2 linked regions of the Caenorhabditis elegans genome follow. The protein of the gene in region 2 purifies or fractionates together with the protein of the main gene of each other region. This does not show direct contact. Each region holds a gene or a part of one and is shown on either strand. Other genes may lie near its edges. The genes, in order: sur-5 and T03F1.11.

Region 1 (6,676 bases), on a different chromosome or scaffold from region 2:
CTCTAGTGTTTTCTACATCCTAATGTAAATTGGATTTGGCACCGTAAATTAGCTTCACGTGACTTGACGTAGGCAGTTGTATTAATTGGTCGGCACTCTGAATTAAAACGTTTACCTTTGATGTCCTAAAAAATAATAAAAAAGAACAAAAAGAAAAGTTGAGAGAATAAAGTGAATAGATGGAATGTAGAAGAAAAGTTATGAGGATTTGGTTGGCATACGAATGGTGATGGGCTTCTGCTGGTCGCCTAACCTTTTTATTATGTCTTGCCGCACCAACGCTTATTGAAACACACAAAGATGGACGAAGGGGACAAACCAAGGATGTTACTTGTGATTTTGAAAATCAAGTTTGTTGAAAAGGAGCTCAAAAGTAAACACTCCTTATTCAGAAATTTAGCTTTACCGATTTTCTATGCATTTATTTATCCTAGGTACTTATTTTATCCATGCATTTTTATCTTTGCAAAACTTTAAAAACAATTTTGCAAATGTTAACTATCTCAAAATCACATTAAAATGAAATGTGTAATGAATTACAAGACAACTGAATCTGTTTCAAGCAATTGTTTTCCAATTTGTGTGTTATGTAACATAAAGTGTTCCAAAAGCAAACATAGAATTTTAGAGTCAGAAATGTCCACATTTTACATGGGAACAAACTCTTCTAATTTTATACATTTTAGGCTCGTACCTTTACAATACTTTCTTTTGAAATTTTGAAAATATTTCCTACTATTTCAATGACGGTCTTCATTTTAACGTTTTTGAGGACATGCCCAAAATATCATCTAGTGCAAAATGTTTATTCCTTAATGATAATGAAACCATTAAATTTTCTTCCTCTTTCAAAGTATTTCACAGGGATTTATTTTTTGATGACGACGGAACAGTGAAATCAGAGTTATTTCGTTGGGGAGTGAGAGAGAAACCGGTGCAAATAAAGAAAACCTGGGTGCTAACATAAGGGGAAATATGAATGAATTAACACAAAGTTTTAAATTAGATTTGAAGGTGAGAATGTAAAGGACCACAAAGCTCAAAAATTGATGTTGATGATGACATGAATGAGAAAAACAGGTTCAGGCAATGAGCAAGAAGGAAAGCGTGAATATATAATTTTCAGAAACAGAAACAAATAAACCGTTGAAATAAAATTAAAGATTAAAGTCTGTATTGAACGAAATGATCAAGAGATTCTGGATTGCGAATCGAAGACGCTTTCTGGACGGCCTTTCCACTCACAATTTGCTTAACGGCAACTTCCACTTTCTTTCCGCTTGAAGTATACTGAAAAAACAAAGTTTTTACAAATATCTCAATCGTAAATAGCTACCGGAATATCATCAACTGCGTAAATTTTGTTTGGAACATGTCGCGGGGACATGTCGTTCCGGAGTTTAGAAACAATGGCTGCCTGGATACTGTGTGTGAGCTCTTGACCCGGAACCATTTTCACAAACAGCAAAACTTCCTCGTCCATGCCCTCTTCGCTGGAAAAAAAATGTTCTTATGTTTGTTCTGCCATACTAGAGAATAAAAAATATAAGTTAATTTATCAACGACCTGTTTATTTCTATTTGCAGAATAGAGAAAAGTAATTAAAACTAGCTTAATATAAAGAAGAGAATGAGTAAGTGACATACCTATTAGCAAAATAAAAACTCTAAATATGCATAATGATCAACTTACACAAGTCTTCCAGCTACAATGCAATCAGCAATATGTGGAATTTTTTCAACAACCGAATAAATCTCAGCTGTTCCAATTCGAACTCCGCCGCGATTCAATGTAGCATCACTTCTTCCGAGCATTTCTACACCGCCCGTAGAATGATTCACTCTCACAAAATCACCATGAGCCCAAAATGGTTCTAGGCGAGCAAAGTAGGCATCACGGTACTTCTTGCCATCCGTGTCATTCAAGAAATGTGATGGCATTGAGGGGAATGGGGTGACACACACTAACTCTCCTTGTTCGTCAGAGTTAATGATTTCTTCATCTGCAATTCGGATACTTTTTGGAGAAAAAAGTTGATCTATCTTTCTTCGCAACTTTTCGAAAAATGTTGAAAACTACTTTGAAAGTTATTTATAAACATTATAAAGTATGTATATTTGTTTGCAACACTGCTGTTGTTCGCCTGGGATATGGGCCTGTAATCCCTATTGTCATATGGACCTATTATTCTTATAAAGATCGAACACCTATTCAATCGCCAGGGTTCTGTGCAAAATTTTTAAAAAAAGTGGGCATTAAGAAGTTGCCGCGCTCGGCAATTTTTTCAATTTTTTGCACGTCTTACCGATTTCGGCATTTTTTTTTGATTTTGGAAAATACGATGGAAATACAATTATGCTATTTATTATTCATGGTTTTATTTTTAGAGTTTCAAGAATTTTTGAGATACATCGCAATTTGCCGAGGTCTGCCAATATTGAAAATTTTTCCAGTACCACTTTTTTCATCCCCAGTATTAAATGGTACAATTCTCGACATAACGTTCTAGCTTTTTCCGAATTGTTTTATACATTTCATTTTGCACGTACCCATGTAATTGAATGACTTAATATCCATTCCCAGGAACAAACACTGACACTCTCCTGGCGTGATTGACAATGACTTGATACCACCGACAAAGCATCCAATAATGTCAGTTCCTCCAGAAATCGACGCGATGAGAGCCTATAAAAAAACTTTGTGTTATATTTGGTTGCAAAAGAACAAGATAAGAACATACGCCTGGCGCAATATAAGTGTTGATATAAGCGAAGCACTCTTTCTTCAATGGCGAACCTGTCGAGTAGACTGTGTGTATTTTGGAAAGGTCGTACAATGTGTCTGAAAGTCGTTGATCATATTAACGGTGTTGAATGGAGGAAAATTATATGTATATACTTACTGAATGGAATTTGAAGTCGGAGGTATTCATCATAAAGCTTCGCACCCATTCCAATCATAGTCGATTGTGTCTTTGCAGCGATTTTCATGATAATATGGGTGTCAGGAGCCAATGGGCATTCATCGAATAATACAACAGATCCTTTGGAGTATAGGAACGAGATCATCCTGAAATGTTAAAAATTAAAGTTATATATTTTTGAAATTGTGAATAAGTACAATCTTAGCAATTTGCCGAAAACTCGTGATCAATTTCAGCAGCGCCAATCAAAAAAGTTGCAAAAGTGAACAAAGTTAAAGATGGAACATCCAAGCATTTGCACTAAGAACTACCAAAGGTTACTGAACGGTTGCAAAGTTGCGGCGAATTGCCAAAATGTTTTATTTCTTGAAAGCAACCTGTGAATATTTATTCGGAAATTATTTTTGTCTCTAGAAAAAATCAATATTTTAAAGCTTATCCAACAGTTCATTATTACATAAATACAAAAAAACATTTCAGGGGACAGTTTCTACGGTGTTCTAATATTATTTAAATTGTATTTTCTTGCTGATTAAAATACAATTTTAATTAAAACAAAATCTCACCAATTATACATCATCCATCCACATGTAGTGTAGAAAAACATACGATCGTGTTTCTTTGAATCTCCTTGCACCAAATGCTCCTCAATGTGCTTGAGCAAGGTTCCTCCGACCGTGTGAACCATTGCCTTTGGAATTCCCGTGGTTCCTGAGCTAAACATTACGAAGAGTGGATCGGAAAATGGTACCTAAAAATCCACATGCTTTGAATGTTTCAAATCTTAATCATACTGGAGTATATACAAATGGCAACACAACATCGGCAATGGGAGTCTTGAATTCTTCGAGTGATGAGAACTTGTCACTTTGATTGTACTTTGTTGCATCGAATTTTACAGATGTGAAGGTGTCGGATACAACGATTTTCTCGAGAGTTGGGAGCTCTGGAAGTTATACCATTGTTTTAAATTCTTATTTGACAAAAGTAACCAACCTTTTACAATTTCATTAATTTTATCGGTCTGATCAATGAGCTTCTTCTTGTAAGTCACATGATTCACTGTGAACAAAACCTTGGGGTGAACTTGTCTGAATCTGTCAAGAACACCAGCAGGTCCAAAATCAACAGACGCTGAGCACCAGGCAGCTCCGACAGCGGCTGTGGCAAAAACAGCCACCAGTGTGTCATATGTGTTTGGAACAAAGCCGCAAACAGTGTCTCCGGGTCCGATTCCATAGTTACGAAGAGATGTGGCAATGCGATAAACATCTTTGCGCAAGTTGTCGTAAGTATATTCTGTCACTGTTTCTTCGATACCTTGAATTTTGTTTGATAAATAAACGTTTGGAACATGAAACACTTACTGGCATTCAATACAGCAATATCGGTGGCGGTTCCTCTTTCGATGACATTTTCAGTATAGTTGAGAGTAGCACCATTGAACCATCTCGGTCTCTCGTTGATTTTCAAATTATGATCGATAACCTAAAAATACTTTGTTTGTTTCCGAGCTGTTACACATAAAAAATTAATGTTCCAGGAAGTGGAAACAAGTTTCCCAATACCATACCTGGTTGTAGTTTTGATGAAGCTTCACATCGGACAATTTGAGCAAATCCTCCCAGAAAATACCATAATTATCACAAGTGAATCGGTGAAATTCACGGTAGTCAGCTTAAAAATGTGGATGTTATGAATATTTTGCATTTTTCAAAATCTAGTTGCTCACAGTTTCAGTTAAATATTAAATAGCAGTTATTTGAGGTCGATTTTTCAAATTAATCAAGAGTTAAAATTGAAACCTATGATTTACTAAATAAAAAATTACCAAATTTCTTATTTGTTTTCTCTTCAAAATGATTTCTGAGTGACAATTCAAAAGTTTCCAAATTTTGTGGCGGCTTGTAATAAACTGGCTGAAGTTTCTGAACATGGCTTATTTCATTTCCATTCATTGATCCATTCGTCGTTCCATTTGTCGTTCCATTGGTGTGAGCACCATTTTCGTGCTTTTCGGTAGTTTTTCCGTTTGCAGACACTGCGGTCATTCTGAAAACAAAATGTAAAGTTCAAAGGTTTATCCACAGAAAAAAGCAACACGAAAAAAATCGAAAGGACACAAAACTAGCGATATCACCACTTCTAGGCGTATTTTTGTGAGGTTTATCACACGCTTATCATTATTTGCCAGGCCATTAACTGTGGTGTGATTGCCTACAATCACCAGATATTCAAAACCTTTTCAGTGAAGTTGTAGGAAAAATGAGAGACGAACATCATTGACTAGTGAGCACAACACATTGATCACTGTTCTATGCAAAACAATTAGCAAACGGTTCGTAGAAGGGGACTGCAATTTGGTTTAGTGTAAAACGTTCTACGTATCAACGTGATAAGAACAGTTGAGATATCTCTTGTTATCAGTGAAAATTTGGGACATCGGGACAAAGTAGGTACACAACAATTCGGAGACAAAATTTTCAATGTCAAATGTTGCGTGAGAGATCTCTAATCAAAGAAGATAACATGGCGCTGTAGGACACCGGTGTAATAAAATTGCAAGCCCGCACGTGTTGGATTAAGTTGATTTGATTTTGATTTAACGGCCGGCAAAAAAAGTGTGAAAGATTAAAAAATTATGACGTTTCATTTTTGTTACATCATGCACTTTGCGAATGGAATATGAAAAGAATATATGCGGCGTGACAAAATAGTTTGAAGAAAAACCTATATTATCCTTTTTAACATTACTCTAAAAAGTCTACTGTAAAAGTAGCCATTGACACGTTAGATTCAAAGTTTAGATAATTTCAGACGATAAAAACATGTTTTTGTTGCGTCTTCAATTTCAATTGCCCCCATCTCAATTCCGATACTATTTCAAGTTTTTTTTTTATTTCGATCGTTATACTGTTTTCCAATTGAAGAACAGCGCTCTTTAAAAAAAATAAATGCGCAAAAAAAGAAGAGAAAATAAAAAAGAAATTGAAACTTTGCAAAAAACTTTTAAAACAGATAGAGACAAAGATAGACCGAGACACAGGCATTGAAAGAAATACACAGAGAGCCGACGAGGGACTACACTCTCCACTGCAACGTATGTTTACCGCCTGCGCGTCCGTCGGTCAGCACAGTCTCTGGCCTCCACACTGCACACGTCCACTGAAAAGTGAGATCAACACAAGGGACAAGGAGAAAAAAGGTTTTTTCTATATTTTTCTTTTCCAATAGTCTGCGTTTGTGTGTGTGTTTCGTTGAAAAGGAGCGATGGATAGAAGAAGAGCGTGCCATCACGGAATGGCCTTTGCATTTTCCGATAGCTATTGTTTGATGGTCAAAATGATTTCCAACATTTACAGTTTAAATGTGTAGTTTATAGTTTTTATGAGTGGTTTTATTTCTGGTAAAACTGAAAAAACTTACTAGGGAATGACCAGAATAAGTGGAGCGATATTCAAAAAAAAAATATTGTATCGGAAAGCTGACATTCTCTACTATAAGAATATGACTGAAATTTTGGCCCATTCGGGCTGGAAATCTGAAATTTTTACGTCTGAAATTCTACGTTAACTCTTTTCACTATCCCCAATTAGTACTGCCTGCAACAGCGAGATGGCCGAGTGGATAGAGTGGATGACAAGCATGGTGGGACTCTGGGGTTCAATTCCACCCTAACGTAAAATTTTTCAAAAATTTAAACGTGTTTTTTCGAAACTATATAAAAGCCCAAATTTAATTTTTCTGATCGAT
Region 2 (3,076 bases):
GTCACATTTTGGTATTTTTCGCCGAAAAAGTACGGTATCAGGTCTTGACACGACATATTTTTGTTTAATGCAAAATAAAACGGAGCAACAAAAGTTTGAAACTACAGTACTCTTTAAAGGCGCACACGATTTGCATCTAATAAAAGTTTTAAACATCGAGAATGATTTCGAAGATATTTAACGATACATTTTCAAGAACTGCAAATTAGAAATTTCTTGAAATAAAAATGCCTTTAATATCTTTAAAAATAGTATATTTCACAATACCAACTAATTAAAAATTGAATTGAAGATTCTGATTCTTTTTAGTTGAAATTCAATAATTTTTCATTTCAGATATCCGGGCTTATTCCTCTATGACTACACGAACAAGCTGCATAATCTGGAAGATTTATCAAAAGAACCCAATGCTCTTCCACCTCCTGTACCCATCTTTGCACCGGCTCCGACAATTGACTCGGCGGACAACACGTGGTCGCTCAAGAATTTTAATTGTTCATAATTTTGTTATATTATAGATTGTTTATTGTTGAGATTGTTTAGATTTGTTATAAATTTTGGAAAGATAAAACATTAAGAAATTGAAAGAATTTTAGGAAGTGACTTTGTTGATGTACTCCTTGAACTCATCGAAAGTGATTTTGGAGTCTCCGTCTTTGTCGGCCTCCTTGATGACTTGAATCAAAAATTTGAGGTTCGTCTTGAACACGGGATCCTTCTTATCGTCCTTCTCAGCTCCCAACAACATGCAGATCACATCATCTTTGCTGATGAATCCAGACATATCCTTGTCGTGGAGAGAAAACATCTCACGGAGTTCATGTTCTGGAAATAATTAGAAAATTTATAGAATTTGGCAACAAAAAAAAAGATAAAGCTCACCCCAAGTAGCCATGACGGAAAGTTCAAGACTGAGCTTCACTCGAAAACCGTTGGAGGCGGGTAGGAGGTGCCGAGTGGGTAAATAAATGGAAAAGCATCTCAGAGAAAAAGAAAAGAGAGAGAATGTTTTGTCAATTGATTGTTTGTTTTACTAATTTGAATTTTCGAAAGTCGTTGTTTGTAAGTGTCAAACATTGACGATTAGCAAATGAAAACAGGACACTTTTTTTTTTGAGAAATTGGGAATTCCTGAATTCAGGCCGAAGAAAAATTGGAATCATGGAGGTTTGATTTTCAGCAGAATTAATCATTTTTAATTTTTTTTTTTCAACTTCCCGATCGTGATCTTGTTTGATCTCCTGAAAACTTATTTTCGAAAGGTGTGATGTCACTCGAATTTTATTATTACGGGAACACTAATCTATGAGAGAGCGTATTGAGCAACATATTTGACGCGCGAAATATCTCGTAGCGAAAACTACAGTACCTCTTTAAATGACTACTGTAGCACTTGTGTCGATTTACGGGCATTTTTTTTATAATTTTTTGATTTATGTCAAAATGGAGCCCGTCAATCGACACCAGCGATACAATAGTCATTTAAAGAATTACTGTAGTTTTCGTTACGAGATATTCTGCTCAATACGCATTCTCAGAACCCTCTGAAGAATTTTCGTTCCCGCAATATAGTAGTTGCCGCCAACATTATGCCTGCCAGCCTGCCTACCGCCTATTTTGTGCAATTTGTCGTGAACTTTGGTTTTTTGGCGTATGAAAGAAATGCGTAGAACACCATGTTGGCAGGGATTTTTGCACAGAAATTTAAAGTTTCTAAAAAATCATTCATCAGTCTTCTGAAATATCGCTTTTAGCCGTTAGACAAATTCGGCGCCTAACAGGTCTCGACGCGACAGAAATTTTAAATTTTAGATGCTACAAAAAAGTATGCGTCTTTAAGGGCATCTTTAAGAAAATTGCACTACTATACATCTTAAAGGCGCACACTTTTTCGCAGCCTCCCTAATTACCTATGTTTCAGTCGTGTCGAGAGCAGAAAAAGTCATGAATCACAAAATCTTATGTGTTTTGGATTATTTGAAAACTTTAGAAGAGGAAATCGCGACATGTTAATTATAATTTTTTCGATCCAAACGTGATATTTCTAATGATTATCAGTGTAACTGTTTAAAAAATCGTCTTTCTCTTGATCTCTAGACAGTCCATCTCTCGCCACTCGACCCGAAACTTGAGGAGCATTCCACGAAAAACGTCCTCTATTTATTTGTTTGGAAACACTCGCGCGTATATCCCGTCCCGAATAGACAGAAATCCTGACAAAAGAGACAAGGAGAGGGGATCAATTGGTTATTAGTGTTGTATTTTTGTAAAAATATATGTACACGAAAAGATAAGTGTTATATATTCAATTTGTAATAAGAATAGAAGAAGCTTTATTAGAAAGCAGAAGAGGATGATAGAATAGTGAGGAATGATCGAATATGATGGATCGATCAAGGAATGTACATGTGGATAATACGTGAAATAATAATAAGAGAGTTCGAGAGTTCACGTGCTTCTTATTGTCGAGTTGTTATCGCCAAGTAGTGCGAACACGTTCACGTCTCGCCGTAACACCTTCCCCCCTTATTGACGAATAGCGATTCCCTTGGGAAGAGGGGTTTCGACCAGAAGCTGTATATCGACTTCCGTTGCGAGTGGAGGCTTGACCGAGCTGTGTGGATGTCGATCCTCGCGGAGTTCCGGTGGAGGTTGAAGGGTGCTCCACAGATGAACCATATCTGTCCGGTACTCGTCGAATTCGCGAACTTCGTCTTACGGAATGGCTTGGGTCGGTGGTCGGGTGAGAACGTGAGGCGTATCCGGGCGCCGAAACGTCGTTGTTGGTTGGAGAGCAGGATCCACGTGGCTGTCCTCTGACTGCATTGCTTTCTTTCTTCTTTAGTTCACTTGTGATTCGGCTTCCACGATTGACATCAGTACTGGAACCGTTCGAAGTAACAACTGGATCATCATTGCGGGACATCTCATCACCGCCACTCTCCCCCACAAAACCAAAAGAATCGGAAGACAATCTAGGATTAACAGACGAGCCTGAAGAATCAAAAAGATTAGTTTCCCCCCTGTGGCCCCGGAACTTGACTTATTGTCTGAACCGCTAGTAAACTTTCCTGGA

What was found.
Region 1: the proteins of T03F1.11 (region 2) and sur-5 fractionate together in Caenorhabditis elegans (co-fractionation; one large-scale study listed by BioGRID). This does not show direct contact.

Annotation. Positions count from the first base shown.
Region 1 is NC_003284.9:7,300,596-7,307,271, forward strand, and holds sur-5 (Acetoacetyl-CoA synthetase), read right to left. Parts: upstream 4,976-6,676; 5' UTR 4,975-4,975; coding exon 4,755-4,974; intron 4,601-4,754; coding exon 4,497-4,600; intron 4,412-4,496; coding exon 4,291-4,411; intron 4,244-4,290; coding exon 3,920-4,243; intron 3,870-3,919; coding exon 3,718-3,869; intron 3,675-3,717; coding exon 3,490-3,674; intron 3,070-3,489; coding exon 2,903-3,069; intron 2,842-2,902; coding exon 2,741-2,841; intron 2,686-2,740; coding exon 2,550-2,685; intron 2,003-2,549; coding exon 1,693-2,002; intron 1,494-1,692; coding exon 1,337-1,493; intron 1,291-1,336; coding exon 1,165-1,290; 3' UTR 794-1,164; downstream 1-793. UniProt on the Caenorhabditis elegans protein: Activates acetoacetate to acetoacetyl-CoA. Negatively regulates let-60 Ras activity during vulval induction.
Region 2 is NC_003279.8:3,851,672-3,854,747, reverse strand, and holds T03F1.11 (EF-hand domain-containing protein), read right to left. Parts: upstream 939-3,076; 5' UTR 896-938; coding exon 883-895; intron 826-882; coding exon 593-825; 3' UTR 515-592; downstream 1-514. Other genes in the region: tfbm-1 (Dimethyladenosine transferase 1, mitochondrial), read left to right, coding at 337-502.